Schizosaccharomyces pombe: one gene and its partners. Changing the gene in region 2 together with the main gene of any one other region gives a genetic interaction. Each region holds a gene or a part of one and is shown on either strand. Other genes may lie near its edges. The genes, in order: xap5, SPOM_SPBC16E9.02C and get2.

Region 1 (5,515 bases), on a different chromosome or scaffold from region 2:
ACCTATGAATTTGGGTAAATCTATGTATGAATCAAACAAACTATAGACAGCAGAGATAAAGGCTCTATAAATGCACCCACGTTTACTCCTATTAATCTTATAAAATTTTAGCACAGAATTAATTGTGTAAAGTGATAATTAAGGCAGGATTGAAAGTTGCGTTTCGACAAAAAAAAATATATATTTATATATAAGTGTGTATAACTCGTAAACCAAGAATGTTAGATGCGATCACCTTTATCCATTATATATAAATTTGATTTCACAAAAACTCATATCATATTGTAAACAATTAAATAAACACGGTAAGCATCTTTACAAGTTCACAAAAATCGTTAAATTGACTTAAGCTTTGTAATATATTTTTGTCGTTTCTACTTTTAGGAGAAACATACTGAAACTGACAGAACTCTTTAAGGAGCTTCAAAATTTTTGCGAATCTCGTTTTATCAAAATCGGTTGATTCTGCAATTTTGATTTAAGTGGTACGCTATTCTTTGTAGAACTGTTTACATTTTGATCAAACAGAACGCGACCCCCAACACCGAGATATATGCAAGAATCATCCCAGGAGGAGCCTGTGCACTATGTTCAGTGGTTTTACCTATCCAATTACGACCTCTACGATGAGACTTCTTCTATGGAGTTGACTGGGGCGCAGTCCTGGAGGCGGTTTTTGAACTACGATAATAACGCTTTAGAAGCAAAATACAATGAAATTATTACAGAGGAGGTGTCTCAAGAGCCAAATCAGAAGAATGTAACTAATTTTTTAATCTATATGTGAGCTTAACTAACGAGCAGGTCATTGTTGGAATTTCTGGGCTTCATGTGGTAAACTTACCTACTCTTACTTTAAAGCCTCTATACTGGCCAAGTGCCAGTAAAAATGATACCTTACGAGTCGTTCGCGGTCTTTGGATGTACGAAGATACGGGTCTTCCTGTAATCAATGAATTGTCGGATATGTTAGAAGAGGGCTACCAGGAAGTGAAGCCATACGCCGTTAACTGGGATAATGTTTTAAAAGAAGAAGAAGAAGGGAAGGATTCTCAAGATGATCCTTCTGTATTGTCTCATAAACGTAACAAGTCCTCTAAGGAATTAATTGATGCGATGCAATGGCCTCTTAAACCTACCTCCTCTGGCAAATATGTATTTTACGAAGACGGATATAGAGCACTCATTTGTCAAGGAGGTTTGTTATCCTATTTTTCAAAAGGGACTCAATCTCGAAGGACCAGTATTAAAGGTATGCCGGTCGTTCGAGATTTTCCTTACTTTGAAGATGATGGTTTTAATGGACCTAAACAAGTTACAGATCTTTTTTTGGTGGTTCATGGTATCGGTCAAAAAAGATCAGAGACTGGTAAGTAAACTTGATTTTTTTTTATCTTACACCGGCATTCAATTACTAATGTTGACAATATAGAGGAACGATTCTTATTTACCAAGACGTGCAACGTTTTTCGTTCATTGATCCAAATTCAGAAAAACATAATGAAAGAGGATCCGTTGATTCGAAACGATTATGAACCACAACTTCTTCCGATATGTTGGAGAAATAAGCTTAATTTTAATTCATATATAAAGCCAGTTGCCGGTGATGAAGGACGGGTTGAGGATGAAGAATTTGAAGAAAATCGATTTTCAATTGAGGATATTGAAATTGATAGCATTCCAGCGGTGCGAAGGTTATTAGGAGATGTGATGAGTGATATTCCCTATTATATGTCTCATCACAAAGAATCCATTATAAAGTCTGTAATTCGTGAAGCTAATAGGGTTTACCATTTGTGGAAGGACTGCAATCCTTACTTTTTAGAAAACAAGGGCCGTATCTTTATAATTGGGCATTCTTTGGGCTCCACAGTTGTTTTTGATATTTTGTCACTTCAACCCACTTTTGTCAAAGAAATTACTATAGACGATGATGAAAGCTGCTTTATATTCGACACAAACGGTTTTTTTTGTTTTGGTGGTCCGGTAGGTTTTTTTTTGCATTTGAATCAACAAAGTATTATTCCTCGTCGTGGAAGAGGCTCATCAAGATACGAAATAAATAAAAACTTTATAAATTCTGATGTTCCAAAGTCATATACTTACGATGGTTATGATCGGTACGGATGTCTCGCAGTCGACTCTTTTTATAACATCTATAATCACCTTGATCGTAAGCGCATCATTAAATTATCGTATTTACTAACAAATTAGCCGTTGCGATGCGATTAAATCCCACAGTGGATCTCTCATTTTCGAAAGGCATCCACCCAACTCGTATACTGTTCACAAGAAAATCTTCAAGTATTTTGAGAATGATCTCACATTCTAATACTGATCCTGTGGAACTTCGAAGTTACAATCAATCTTTGCAGCAAAATAAAAACAATGAGCCCACAGCAGTGGTCCCACTGGAGCCTGAACAGACTGTCGAGTTAGAGACTCGCAATTTTCGCAGAGAAGAAAGGGCCAAGTGGCGCATGCAAGAGTTGAATGAAAACTCTCAGTTGGACTACGTATTTACGAGTGCCCATGGGGTCATTTCAAACAAATATCTTTCTATGCTTTCGGCTCATAGCAGTTACTGGAGTAGTGAGGATCTTGCTTGCTTTTTAGTAGTGGAAACTGGCCGAAACTTTGGTATTGCCAATTCAATTGAGCAATTTCGTGGAAAGCATATGCCACGTATATTCAAAGGGGACAGCTCTTGAAAATTTTCTTTTTATTTTATCTGACAGTATACCAGCGAGCTTCATATTTATTAGCGATGCGAAGTGGACAAATTAAAATGAATTTGATGAACATTGGATAATGATGATTTTTTAGGATCACTTTAATGACTTTATATATTGGCATTCGAAAGATGGTTTTGCATTCAATGACCAGATACGAAAATTTATTAGAGTATTTATAGCAACACTAGTGATTAGCTAGTTTTTTTTTTGTTTTTAATCTATTGCTATTTTTCCAAAGCTTGTTAATACAAACGAGTAATTCGTTTTATTTGTCTCTAGATTGGTTTTAAAAAGTGTCTATACAAGCAGTTAAAGATTACAGAATGCTTCAAAGTGCCCCACCTCGTTGTTATTCTATTTAATAACCGTTTTGACAAATATAAAAAACTTATATGCAACGTGACTTTGGCAAAGTGTGCGTTTATTCTAGGATCCCTCATAGGTAAATGTAAAAAACATGTTCTTCTTCTACGATAAATATAGTAATAGTCATTTCTTTCATTTTGAGATTTGAAAACCGAGGCAAAAAAAGGGTATTTTGGGTATTCAAGCTTATTTGGAAGAACGCTCACCACTCACGTTTTTTTGAATTCTTCATACAATGAGCGGCCATACTGATGCCGATGAAATTCATGAGATTTTACGAAATAGTACGACTGGTTTAGTCCATTTAAAGGATTATCAAAGAGTAAAACAAAACATCGTTGAAAAACGAGAGAAACATGCGCTATCAACCACAAGTACTAAAATGTAAGTGAAAAGAACGAGAAAAGCCCGATAGTATTCTAAATATGACTGACAATTCAATTTTAGAAAAAAGAGAAAAGATGCTTTAAGCAAAAAGGTCAAACAGGGCATTAAAGTTAACAAAGGAAAACTTTCTTTTGGTGAAGATGAAGAACTGGAGAATGATGATCTACCTTTAAAAAAAGTTGAGAAAAAAATGTTTATGGGAAAGGATCCATCTGCGGATACCTCCTTTTTGCCAGATGCAGAGCGAGAAATACGTGAAAACGCGAAGCGAGCCGAATATCGCAAACAATGGCTAAAAGAGCAGGAGCAAATTCGGGAAAAAGAGATTTTGATACCATTTATCTATTACGATGGAACAAGTACCACTTATCATGTAAGGACTAGATTGAAAGATTCGGTTGGACACTTTCTTGCTGATATGAAACAGCAAATCCCATTTTTGAAGAGGATTCTGGATATGGATAAATTTTTACTGGTTCAATCTGATTTAATCATTCCCCATCACCATGAGCTTTACTACTTTTACATTAATAAAGTTCAAGGACGTGATGGACTTTTATTTGACTTTGATAAGCTGTCATGCTCTAGTCCAGAAATGGTTGCAACTACACAACTTCCTTCTCAATGCATTCCTCATCTAGTTCAAAAATCATATTATTTACAAAATCGCCATGTGTTTCCATGTGTGCATTGGGAAGTCTTTGATTCTCGAAAAGATTATTCATTGGAAAAGCATGCAACTGATCCTAACGCTGCATTATTTTACCGGCCCTCATAATGCCTTTTAAAAAGTTTTCGATTTTTTTTCTCTTGGTTCTTTATTTTTGTTTTGCATACTCATACTTCCCTCATCGACTAATTTAATAACAATTTCATTACAACTATATTGTTTTTATGTTTGTATTTTAAACAAATGAATTGCGCCAAACATATAACTTGATAAGCTATACAAAGAGAGAGACTTTGGTAAAAAAGAAACAGATATTATCCACTAAGTATTCGCAATGGGTTTTAGTATTTACACTTACTACTCTCAACATCACTCCAACCTTGACTGAAAACCTTGATTTCATTGATGTGCTATAGGATATTGTAAAATAAAGTAATTAAAAAATTAGCAATTCGCTTTTGGAATTATTAAATGTTTCCTTTATTATTGAATTCTCATATTTCTGCTTGTTTTTATTTAATGTATCGCAGCGTTGGTATGCAAATACATAGTATTTGATCATAAACATATTAACGATACGTTAATTTGCGGTGGATTATACTGTGCTATTTAGGTATACAATTTTTGGTAAAGAAAAAAGTGATCGTGACTGAATGATGAGAATAACTATTCTATTGTAAATAAGAAATGAAATTCGCTTTTCGTTCTCTTGGAAGTATAAGCATGTCGCTTTTACGAATGTTCACGAGTCTCTAATCCTTTCGGTATACTGTAAACAATCTAGTATGTAACGTTTCATCCACCATTTTCAAGTTTTAGAATTAGAAAACCAGTAATACAGGAAATATAAGATGATACTTTTTTCTAAAACAAATAAATATGAAAAATCGACCTTGATGTAAAACGAGAACCTCTTTTAAACAATGCGATTTCCCAATATCCTAGTAATTAGCCCATTTCTGTTCAAAAAAATCAAATGGAAAAAAATAAAGTACTCAATTGTATTGAATAAACTATTTCACCCTCCAAACTAGCCAACATTCAGCCCAAGCAAAAAGTAATGCTTTTTCCCATATCCATATCGCTTGTAGCTTTACATGAAAGATTGGCAATTACGCAGTTTGCAAAATGCTTTTAAGGATACGTCAAGCTGCGAAAAAATTACGTTCCTACTAAGTCCTTATGTAGTTAATACCGCAGTATAAAGATGCGTTATCCATCATTTTTTGGTTATAATTCTACAAGCGGTGAACTCAACTAAACATCAGAATTGTTCATAAGCTAATATGGAAAGGGATAAAGGCGTCGCTCCAATTGTTGTAGAAAATGTTGCATATAATGAACAGGTAAGAAATGA
Region 2 (6,706 bases):
CCAAAGTAGAATTCTTCAACTGAGCCTGCAGCATCTCCAACTGCTCAAGCAGCTCGTTGTTCTCCTTCTGTAACTTTCCGATCGTATCCTGATATTGTTTTTCACGAACACGGAATTTGGCTTCCTCGACCGACAAAGCTGAAGTCGGCCCAGGTCTTGGTTTAATAGGTGCCTTTCTTCTTCCCAGAGCATCTAACGCAGGTTTCCTTCCTGGTTTGGGACGAGGAGGAACAACCCATTGTTTAGAGACGCGAATCATCGGCTTTTGAGGTGCTGGAGAAGCAGAAGATGATTTTTCCACTTCCGATGGACTTTTAGACGATTCCATGAGCAAAAAAAAAGTTGGGGGGATAGGAGATATCAAGTACAGAACTACACTTTTAGCAAAATATATAAATCTTTATTTTCCAATACTCCAATGCCTCTACTGACCAAGCTTAAAAATCTCACTTTTTCAAACGTTTGTCGTTGGTGGTTTGTTTTAATCTGATAAAGAGATACGATTAAATTATATCTGATCTAAGTGCCGTGTGGTTCGATGATTGTACTGTTAACCCGGTATGCAACACCTCGTTATATCTTTAAAGACTCAATTTTCGGGAAAAAACGGATTAGTGAACAGGTCGGCTTAGAGGCGCTGTTGACATACATTCTCAATACCCATCATTTCAGTTACAGAACCAATTAAAAAACGCGGGTATGGTGGACATCATCTGATTAAAACCGATCGACCTAATAAACTCTGGGCTCTGGCTATGTAATACTACAATCATTCGGCACACCAACTATCATAGTAATGCTTATCCATGTTACTTTTTTGGAGTTAAATTAATGTTCTGACTCACTGCTTTTCTCATGTCATACCGTCCTTTGAAGATTATTTAACATTTGTTTATATTTTTGATATAATGAGATGAAACGAAAGTGCACTAACACATGTGACTGTTTTTTGACTCCTAGTATATAAGAAATGTGAGTGAGTTAAAACAAAGCTTCATCTCACAAAATAATGAATTACTGATGTCAAAAAGTCTGCTCTCTTCTAACGCGGTTATAATATAGAACCGTATTAATGGTTGCAGCTTTTTCCTCTTCATGGAATCGGTATAGATTATGTCGGGGAGACCGACAGCATAGCTTAAAACCATCGTGAAGTCGTTGCTTCGTGCCATGGCTCGTGATGACCGAATGCTACGTACAGTTTTTATATTTTATATCATTTTTTAGTTTGATTTATGTTGTATTCAGTTATTGTTGTAGTTAAAATACGTTGTTTTAATAATTCACGTTGTTTCGTGCCTTCTCAATGAATATCATTTTTTTGTAAGCATCATATGTCTCATGTACAGTAGTGGTAAAAAGAATAAAGGTTGCTATGCACGCAAGGATGGAGTGAATGTATGGATACTTAGCTACTCAGTTTATCCAAATGGTTTCGATAAAACTTCAAGCACAATCTTAAATTAAAGTTACTTTGCAAATTCATCAACGGGATTGCGATTGTCGTGAAAAATTTAATTGATTATTAATAATTCAATTATAAAAATATGAAACAAAAGAGCTCGAAAAAACATTACTTATAAGAAAAATCGAAACAGCGCTAAAACATTTACTGTAAAGCTGAGGAACACCGAAAATAGCAAAATTTAAATCTTCAAGCTACTCGTACCCTGAATACTCAAGGCATATATAGTACCATTAGCTGATTACAACTCTTGAACCTATCATGATGTGCCTTGTTGTTCTTTCCCTTAAGTCTCTTTTCCCGAATTTTGTAGATCAGCAGCCTCCTCGATCTTTTCCTTAACATCTTTGCTGTCAACTTTTTCAGCCTTTTCATTTGCCTCTTTATTATCATCCTTCGCAGGCTTCTCGTTAGTGTCCTTACTGTCAGTCTGTTCGACTTTGTCCGCAGTTTCTTTGCTATCGGTCTTTTCCTCCTTGTCATCGACCTCTATACTATCAGTCTCCTTAGCCTTGACATCGGCCTCTTTACTTTCAGTTTCTTCGACCTTGTCCTCAGTTTCTTTGCTATCGGTCTTTTCATCCTTGTCATTGGCCTCTATACTATCAGTCTCCTTGGCTTTGACATCGGTCTCCGTTTTACCAGTGTCTTCATTTGTTATCTTTGTATCTTTCTCCTCAACATCCTTATGAAGACTAGCTTTGTTATTTTCGTCCTTACTCTCCTTTTCTTCCCCAACGTCAGATTTCTCTTCTAAATTGGCTTCCGAATCAGCATTCTTGGCTTCAGTTTTCTCAGAAATTTCAGCTGTATCAGACACATCGGATGCTCCTTTACCAACAGCAGGCTCATCAGTTTCGGTTTTTTCGGCTTCAACAGAGGTAGAGTCCTTTGGCTCAGATGTTAGTACCTTGGATTTAGCATTGGATGATCCCATTTGTTCTTCTGATACGGTCTCAAGCGTGCGAGCGGCTTGCTTTCGTGACTCGTCGGGTTTTTTTTCCACTACAACTTCCTTAGTGCTTGCAGTAGGCTTACTTGTGTCTTTTTTCATCTCTAACTCTTCATTGTAAGCTGATTCAAGATCACTATCATCGAGAGCAAAAGCAGAATTAGCGACTTCAATCGCACCATTGCTATCCAAAATGAAGGATTGTCCCTCCACAAAGGCGGCTGAAGAACTTGATTCTACGGAGCGACGGTTGGAGTTCAATGAAGATCGCCTCATCATTGGAGATGAAGATGATTCTAAGCGAAGTCTCTCAAAATCTTTCTCATTCAGCATGTGTGGATCAGATTCATATGGGGGAAGCGTAATGGCTGTTCCTGGTCGAGAGGGTTTACGACGTGGTAACGAAGGTGGTCGTTCTTCATATGCGGATTCCAAAGTAGCAGCAGTAGATCTTCTTGGAGAAGGATAAATTTTAGAAGGTGCAGAATACTTTTCATCATCATCGTCTTCTTCCTCACCATCAAATTTGGAAGCGATATTCTCCACCCATTCCATACTTCTTTGCTTAAATGATTGGAATCCACGCATAAATGTATCTTTGATGACTGGAAGATCGTCTTCAAAAAACGAATAATCATCTCCATCGTTGTCATTGGGCTTTGCTGTACGGTTTTGCGGAGGGTAATTCCTACGATCATTGTTTGTTTTGCGCCTACGTTCTGGACGATGGCTGTTGTAACGATTAGCAAGCTCTCTGGCACATCTCTCGTCTTCCTCAAGCTGTCGTTGCACTGGATCGTCATGTGCGGCTGTGTCATAAGCATAAGAAGTTTCAGCTTGTTCCATTTCTTCAGCAACTTGAGGATCACTCAAACCTATTATGGTTAGAAATGAACGTTGACTATTGCATTCATAAAACTTTTCAAGCACGATATTCTTTAGGGAGCAAACAAACGCGAACTATGAGCCACACTTTAAGATATCAAATGAAATCAATAAGGTAAAGCTTCAAAAACAAAGTGAATAGCACATTACAGATCGTTCACAGTACATCCCCAAAGACACGAAATATATGTGTAGCCTAATACTTACCAAGCAATGCGTTGAAAGCAGGCTCTAACTTATATCCGCTAGCTGCTAGGACTGCTCGAATAATTGCATCCTATAGATAAATATATGTTAGATATGTAGCAATGAAAGTAAACTTAGAGAGTTTTGGTAACATGCAGACTAATCTGAATTACATACGTCGGTATTAGGAAATGCTTCTTTAAGAGTCGCACGCGCTTTCTCAGCCATATAAGGCGGTCGTCGAGGTAGTCTTGGATTAGACTGTTCAGAGGCCATACTGAAATCTCATTCGTTTTGAATGTTTAATTATCTAACGAACAAAGCGAAACTCGCAAATAAAAAAATCAACAAGCAAGGAATGAATGATGATCTCAAGGACTCGAAGTAGAGAATACCGGGTATGTACAAGTATATTAATTAAAAGGATATAAGAAAAAGGAATGGTTCTTTCGAAATATAAGAAACGGACGCGGTGATGAATTTGAATGAACAACGAGGCGTACTGCTTCTTACTGAGGGTATACGTCTTATCTCTTACAATCCCTTGCGTATTTATATATGACTCGGTAATAAATTATAGAGATATCTATTTATAAAATACCCAATAATATCACTATATTGATACATATTCAGTCTTGTACTATATAGCACACTCATGTTGGAATTGAAGGAAGAAAGTAAAGAAGGAAAATCATTATACGGGTGTGGTTTTTGAAGTGTAAATATACACTGGTAAACATAGTAGTAAATCAAAATGATAATCCATTAAATAGGAAAGAAAACAGCCATCATTAGTTTAAAAGTTTGGACGTAAACAAAGCGATTATAACATAAAAACATGAAAGTTGGTTCCTTATTTAAAATTTTAAGTCCATTGAGTATCTTTAGATACACCCGTAGGAATTTTGATTGTTTTTCCGTTGCTTGTCAAAGTACAATCTAACTCTACCCAGTGGGCTATAGGTCCAAAGCGCTGACTTTGGTAGTGAACAGTTCCAGAAGCAAGAGATCCTGAAACCTCGAAATTGATATCAATAAACCCTTGACGTTTATGAAGTTTTCCTGGAACCCATGGAAAGGGGTATTTAAAATCGATGTTTGAACCCAATAGATCTTGAGCTTCTTTTGAATGCTGCACACGATACATAACTACTTGAGTTACATTGGAGTTTTGCTTTCCGTACTGGATAGCCAATACAGCACATGTTCCCCACAGTAAACAAAAAGCAGCAAAAAGGATCGGCAGTCTCCTTGGTGAGGAAGATAATTCAAGCAAATCGGGAAGTCGATTTTTTTTTTCTGATGTACCTATGTTCCTCCTAAATAATTTTTTATACTTCAACCCATGAGATTTTTCTTCAAACCCGAATTGTCGCTGAACGAGAACTTTATGCAGGCAAACGCTAGCCCCACAAAAAGTTTTTCTTTGCTGAACAAAACGATTAATAGAAATTGGATATCTGTTTTTTAAAAAAATGGATGATTTATCCATTATCGTTTTAACACCGCTTCCACAATTATGGGTTGGGCTCTTGACGGTCAGACAATGTCCACGAACCAAAGCGGCAAAAAAAGGAAGGAACCTTGTGTAATCCAAGCTTTTAGAAGATATCATGTTTCCTAAGATAAAGCAGACATCAAAAAATTATAACGGGAAAGAAATTCAAGCAATTTCAATGCGATTTTCCAACCAAATCACGATTTTGGTTACAATATCTGGAAAAATAGGTCAAATGGTAAGAAGCAACCTAATTCAGTCAGATATGAATTTATCAGATATAAGATCCTACCGTAACTAAATGGAAATATACGATAATTATTTTAAATTTGATACTTTGTCAAAAGGTCGGGTGCCTCGATGTAATGGAATAGGAAGGACAGGGAGAGAAAGTCAGAGGACATCTATGATTCATAAGCAATTTTTTTTTACAGTATAATTATTAAAGAGCTGACAAATTTAAAATTAGTATATGATGACTTATGAAAAGAGCGTAATGTCTCCGGTGTCAATAACCGGTGACATGTCTACTTTGCCAGAAATCGGTGTGAGGACTCTACTAGGAGGTGGAGGAGAAGACGACATTAAATCACATTGGGCACAAATTACAGCAGGCCAGGTTGGTTCTTTACTAGCCCGCCAACAGATGCTCGTTCGCCCCGATGTTCGAATCCCCCGTGTCTGTTTAGGGCTTCACGTTCCATGGACTGATGACAATGAAAAAAATGGTGATTTAACAGTTGTTATTTTAGAATTGGTTAAGGAGATCTGTTTTTAACGGTCTGAATGTGAACAATCGGTAATGTTTGTCTCAATTGGTTTGATGCTCTTGTGTTTACTACAGATATAGAAGAGAACTTTCTAAACTTTACGAATTGAAAAGGAATCCACAAAAATTCATAAAAACAAAGAATGCGCGAAATATTTTTATGCATTGCGTGTTTCATTAAGTCGATTTTTTTGGTACCACGACAATTTCTGTATTCGATAGCTCTTTACAAATTCCTTTTTTAAGACAAATACAGGTCTTTCCTTTCTTAGATGTATGGAGCTCAACAAACGATGCGCTTAGTGTGCGATCATCATTCTTTGGCGAACGAGCAAATTGATTATAGAAAAAAAAAAAACATCTTTTTTTTTTCCTAGTTAGTGAAGTTTTTGTAATGTTTAATACTAGACATTACAGATGAATCTCTCACAATCTTGGCTGGCAATACAATTATTAACGCAAATTCATTTGGAAGGTCTTTCTACAGCGGTGCTAACGTCGCAATCTTAGAGAAAATTTTCTTCTCTGTATTATGCACAATATTTGAATCCGTATATTGGAACGATTCAACTCCATTACATGCCGTAAGTTTGATAGCTAAATTTCATGCGCCAACCGAGCTATCCGTTACTATACCTTTCCAACGTTTCTGAAGGTTCATAAGAAATGATTTCATACATTGGGTGATGATTCTTATATCGTATGCTTCAAATTGCGTTCGCTAGTAATGTTATCTTGAAAGTGATGGTACCGGTTAATGTCATAAGGAAAGGAATAAATCGAGCAATTCATGGGAATTTCGGTTAGCGCCATAAATGACAGTGGAAAAAAATGAAGCGGCACTCTCTGCTTCCTAAGTTTCGATAAGCTAAGAAATTTGTTTAATAATAATATGAAGTGATATATGCTTAGAAGTCGTCACACACACTAAAAACAGCGGAAAATCGGAAA
Region 3 (5,490 bases), on a different chromosome or scaffold from region 2:
AGTGCTTATATTAAAGGACGATTTAATCCAGTTTTTGGGTTGGTCATGGTTCGGGGCCAGGGACTATATGTTAACATGTAGAAGTCATCAAGTCTTAAGCTCTAGCTTTTCTATGTCTAGATATTCTTTATCTTAAGTTTGGATGACTTATTTAGGCCTATATTTTTTGTATTGTTTAGTCGTTGTAAAAGAAGAGTAGCTTTTTGTATAGTTTGACTTAATTGAACAGTTTTATTTGCATGGATTTGCATAGTTTTCGTAAATGGCTTTAATTTTTCTTTATACATATCCAATGTAGAGGTTTTAGAAGTATTAGAATCTTCTGTATTCAGTTTCTTTTGGAACGAGAAATCGTTGGAGTCTGAAAAATTATCATGGGATATCTTTAAGCCTTTCTTCAAATAAGGGTGAAGCTAAGAAAATATTAGTGATTGCTTGATTATTTACATAACTGAAACAATGGAAAACTCATTTTGTGTCATATGTTAAGATGAAGTCTTGAATAAAACATTCGCCTGTTCGTGTTTTAAACTTACTTTAGATTTTAAATCGGCAAGCCGTGAATTATTTATGGCCATGTTTTGTTTCATTTCTTCGTAAGATTTCTGTTCATTCTCCAAACGAGCAGTTTCAACCTTCAATTCCTGTTGAAGTACGTTAATATGGTCCAAATCACTGTATAATTGCTGTTCCAATTGCATCTAAAAATGTTAGTCATATCTCTTTCGTATGTATGCGTATCAAGACTTAATAACTTACATTCGAAGAAAGTAATTGAGAGAACAGTATTGACTCTTTTCTTTTCCTTGGTACAGGCAAATTTCTCAGAGGAGCTTCGATTTTTAAAAGTATATTCATGAACCATTCCTCGGCCAAAGATTTTCTTGTTTCTGATTTTATTGTATTCAAAACCAATCTGTTACGATAGCACAGTTAGCATACGTACACATAATGACTAAAAAAATTTGGAAAAGTACTTAAAAGACTTTTCCAGGTAAACATCAACAGCAAACTTTGATTTCCCTTTCAGTACACAAGTAAGCGCTAAAAAGCACAAGCACTTTTAGCAATAACATGATTCTCAATTACTTACCTTGAACACGTCCTAAAAATAATTATTATTTCTTGGCGCTGCTTATCCTCTAATGGACGCCATCTTTTTTGAATTTGGTCTCGACGCACCGCGCGAACGCGCCTTTTCATTTCCATTGCATATATTTATAAAAATGGTGCTACCACTTCAATTTTCTTTTAAGCAATCTGGAACTTAAATAGCAAAATATGTACGTATGGTTTTATATGAAAAATTTCTCTATAACAAGAATTCGCCGTTTCAACGTTTGCATGCTGTTGTAGCGCTTCGGACGAAGTTGTTTTACATATATACAGTCAACCAAGCCAATTCTCAATTACTTATTTTATTTCAATAATAAGTTGATAAAAGATTTTAAAAATCATAGTTATAATGTTTTCACAGCTATCCCAGAAATTACTTTAAGTAGTCTGTTTTTAATTAATACTACAATTACAATAAACAGAGCTTTTTAAATCATATACTATTGCTACCATTGAATTAAAAGAGAAAATAAATAAAACGTACCGACAATCGTAAATATGGCATGTGTTGCAAAGCAGTTCAAATGAAGTGCAGTATGTTTTAGAATATAAATCGTTTAGATGTTGAAAAGATAATATAAAATTGAATTCCTAAGGGTTTGAAAAGTCTTTCTCGCTTAATCAGTTAGTTTATTTCATCTAAACAAAAATTGAATGCTAATTAATCGATCACCAATTTGCGAAGCAAAACCAAGATTCATAAATAGTAAATGCTGAAAATTAACAACTATTAATACACCAACGACGGATAAAAATAGCAACATAAACCTAACGCAAATATTGTCATACACGCATCTGTAATCAATTGTGTGAAATACGGAACATAACTTGTTGTATGACGGATCATTGCTCCATAGGGAGGGGGAAGCTGAGAGGCCAGAGATGCTAGAAGAGAATAAGAAGGTCCATTATTACGGTCCAAAACAAATTGAATAGAGAACAAGCAAGCTTCGACAGTAAATGTCCACGGAAGTAATGGCTGAAATAAATATATTAGTATGCAAAAAAACAATTTCAAAAAAGGAAGATGAGGACTTACCAAATGTTTAAAATAACAAACAATCACTACTATAGAAATTGCCAAAAGATGAGCATATTTCTCAACTAAGTTTTTTAAAGGAGCTGTAGCTTGAGGAATTTGTTCGTTTTCACCTTGAAAATTTGTATCAGATCCCTCCTTTGCGGATTGTAACATAGCTTGAAAAAAATTTGCAAAATCAGGGTTTTGATTAAACATGTTTTCAGGTGGTACATTATATGGAGAATCACACTGAAGTTTAAAAGGCGAACTTTCCAAATTATGGTAATCTTGGGAAGGAAGATATTCCACTTGATCAGCATTGAAGGTATCATCTCTCTTTTCCATGAATCCTGAAGACATTGGCGTTACTGGTGTTGCAGTTTCAGAATGTACAGCTTCCTCGGAAGCTGTAGCTCGAACATCGGATTGACTGTCATCTGAATTCTGTCCCAAAATTTGATTGATTCTAGATGCACCTCCTTGTTTGATTTTATTCAGTCGACGTTCACGTCTAAGTCGAGCTTGTTCACTGGCAGTCGACATGTTCGAAGTCTTTGAATCAGCAGAAAACAGAATAAAATAAATAATTAACACCAAACTTTTTTACAGATATATATTTTTATCAATATTATATTGGGAAAAAATCAATAATGCTCACTTGAACAACTTTCCAATATACGAGGGGTTTGGGGTGAGAGAAAATAGTGATGCATAAGTGTTAGAAGAATACTGAATTCCTACAGCTGTTATGTTTGATAAGAATCATACATGTTAGCCTTATATTATAAAAAGGAAAATTTAATTATAAAATTGGTTGAAATTGCCATATCAATTGCATTTTGCTAATTCGTGTTTTTTGGGAAACTACAAAAAACTAAAGAACAGACACATATTTTCATTACAGACTAGCGAAAAATTAAACAAAAAAATTTCCGTTCATTAATTCAGATACAAAAAGGAGTAGTATCACCAGCAACAGCTTTGTGGTAGCACCTTATTCAATAGACATACATGCAAAATCCAGTAGATTATAGGATAGTCCCAGCTAAAGTCTTTCATTTTGCGATACTTTTAACGAAAAAAAATAAAGACATCGAATGATTCACCTAAATACGTTGGCAGAAGGAAAATCCGCTTCAAAATTTGATTTAGAATTGAAATGCAAAAGTCATAACTCAAAATAGTAGTAAAATGGTTACTGAAAATTTATTATTCCCTTTTTATATCCTTCTTGGGAGTCCCGGAGTCTTCGCGAAAGGCTGCGACTATATACAAGGCCAAGATAATATTGACCATTACAGCTGCAGATAATCCTGCGTACAATGTTTGATATCCTAAAACAAAATTTATCAGTAAAAATCAAAATTATTCAACAATTAGTATATACCTTTGAATAAAGTCTTCAACGTCCAAAAATAAGTTATAAGTGGTAATGTAAATAATGCGACACTAAAACCCACAAACTTAAGCAGAACATTACTATTACGAAAGTTAGTAAGTTTTCATTTCCAACATATTTAGTTAAGAATATAAAAGGAATAAACAATATAAGAGACCTAAGATTATAGACTGTTGTGGAAGGTTGTATGGAATTTCTTAAAACCAATTCGCAGTCCGGCGTAAAGAAATAAACTAATAATTAATAAACTTACGTAGGTATAGAGTTATTATTTGTATCTGAAACTTGGGATTTCCTTTCCATTTTAAATCACGAATGCAAGTTGTTGATGGTGGTGGAGACCTAATTTATTGGGACCTTGCTTTATAAGAGGTCAAAGTTTTGTCAACATGAAAAGTAGACAATTGATATTCGTATGTTGAAAGTCCCTGAAATTATTTGTCATCTTATTAAAATTTATTATCTTTGTTTATAACATACGGTAGACTTATACGTGCGACCTGCTTAATTTGTGTTTACATATAATAAAATACCTGGGCGACAAAGTCTCCAAATTCATAGTTCCTTGTTGAAATATTAAATTAATTAAATTAAATCGAGTAACAAATGTATGTTAGGGCTTGGTCGATGATCATAAATAAAACTGCAATTTACAAACTCACATTGAATTGTTTAGCAGGCAAGGGTGTATCAAACAGTGGTGATCAAAAAAGCAATACTCAATTACTCCTCTGTTATAACAAGTGATTTCACACCATCCATCTTCACTTGATACAAGCATTGCTATGTTGACGTTTTCATCAGCGGACGAGCGGTATAAAAAAAAGAGCAAATAGATTACTCAATGGGTATATTTTATGCATTAAAATTTACCATTTTAGCTTGAAATCAAACTGTTGAAGTAGATTTTTGAGGTAATAAAAAGCATTTAATATAACGATAAGATCAAGCCTAGGTTATGTAAGCTACGCAGTTTGGTATCTGATTTAAGGATACGTAGAACTGCGGTGAGTTTTCCTTGTGGTCTATTATATTACAATACACAGGTTGTATAAGTAGCAACTGAGTATAGGTATTGTATTAACTGGGTTATAATGTTACCTATCACTAATATAGCTCATAACTGAACTGAGGAACGAGGTTCAGTTGTAACGCTATTTATAATATTTCTAAATAGTTGTTATCAACGGGTATCTATGTATATAGACGGATAGTTACCCGTGATTATCAATAAACGGATCTTAGCTAGTATTCCAACATATGACATATAGTGATACGCAACGTAGTGTAGCATAGCGTAGTGTACTATTCCTGACAGGTTAAAGTATATACGGCATTGCGATAATTACCGTTAAAATCCAGTAAATTTTTTTAATTAACTTAAGACATATCCAGATTTAAAGAGTCCATTATTTTTTTTCTGCGTACTCCCGTAAGAGTCAGGCACGCCCCAAACACGAACCAAACGTGCTACTTCTGATATTTGATATATAAATACAGAAGACTTAATGTGATTTTAAATTAGATGCTTCCTTACAATTCAAATTACTTATCGGACAACGGGAAACGAAAGTTTTCCGACGAAAATCCTCAATCGGAAGTTTATGGTTCTTCGCAAACAGGTTTGCCTTCTTCATACGGAAATCCTCAAAGCTATGGTACGCCCCCTGTCCAACAGTCTTCCGCTATGTACGGGGTGAATAATTCCATGGGTGGTGGAATGTATAATACTTCTGAGAACACTCAATTTATGAATACTGATTATTCGCAAACTTCTTCGTATGCGTCGACTCCAATGTCCAATGCTTATTCCAGAGATGCTCCCGCTGCAATCAACAACAATTTTGGTTATTCATACGTGGGACAATCATCGCAGCCAGTCCCTTCTTATAACCCCCTGCCCTCTTACAATACTGCGTCTTTGCCCAATGCTGGAATTCCCGCAGCAATGCCT

The links.
Region 1: mutations in SPOM_SPBC16E9.02C (region 2) and xap5 together harm fitness more than expected from each alone (negative genetic interaction), as found in Schizosaccharomyces pombe (one large-scale study listed by BioGRID).
Region 3: mutations in SPOM_SPBC16E9.02C (region 2) and get2 together harm fitness more than expected from each alone (negative genetic interaction), as found in Schizosaccharomyces pombe (one large-scale study listed by BioGRID).

The regions. Positions count from the first base shown.
Region 1 is NC_003421.2:751,921-757,435, forward strand, and holds xap5 (splicing factor, xap-5-like protein), read left to right. Parts: upstream 1-3,331; 5' UTR 3,332-3,336; coding exon 3,337-3,485; exon of another isoform or gene 3,486-3,548; coding exon 3,549-4,266; 3' UTR 4,267-4,370; downstream 4,371-5,515. Other genes in the region: SPOM_SPCC1020.13C (DDHD family phospholipase), read left to right, coding at 554-760, 805-1,369, 1,433-2,173, 2,215-2,711; protein Emc6, read left to right, coding at 5,445-5,504.
Region 2 is NC_003423.3:1,916,410-1,923,115, forward strand, and holds SPOM_SPBC16E9.02C (CUE domain protein ), read right to left. Parts: upstream 3,940-6,706; 5' UTR 3,765-3,939; coding exon 3,666-3,764; intron 3,658-3,665; exon of another isoform or gene 3,580-3,657; coding exon 3,510-3,579; exon of another isoform or gene 3,293-3,509; coding exon 1,752-3,292; 3' UTR 1,597-1,751; downstream 1-1,596. Other genes in the region: CCAAT-binding factor complex repressor Php4, read right to left, coding at 1-328; cytochrome oxidase complex assembly protein coa1, read right to left, coding at 4,354-5,103; proteasome assembly chaperone Pac3, read left to right, coding at 5,102-5,224, 5,456-5,764.
Region 3 is NC_003421.2:186,449-191,938, reverse strand, and holds get2 (GET complex subunit Get2), read right to left. Parts: upstream 2,826-5,490; 5' UTR 2,681-2,825; coding exon 2,156-2,680; intron 2,096-2,155; coding exon 1,847-2,095; 3' UTR 1,538-1,846; downstream 1-1,537. Other genes in the region: kinetochore protein fta7, read right to left, coding at 117-413, 537-701, 760-916, 1,094-1,209; vacuolar H+-ATPase assembly protein Vma21, read right to left, coding at 3,347-3,471, 3,525-3,616, 3,790-3,839; protein Fft2, read left to right, coding at 5,062-5,490.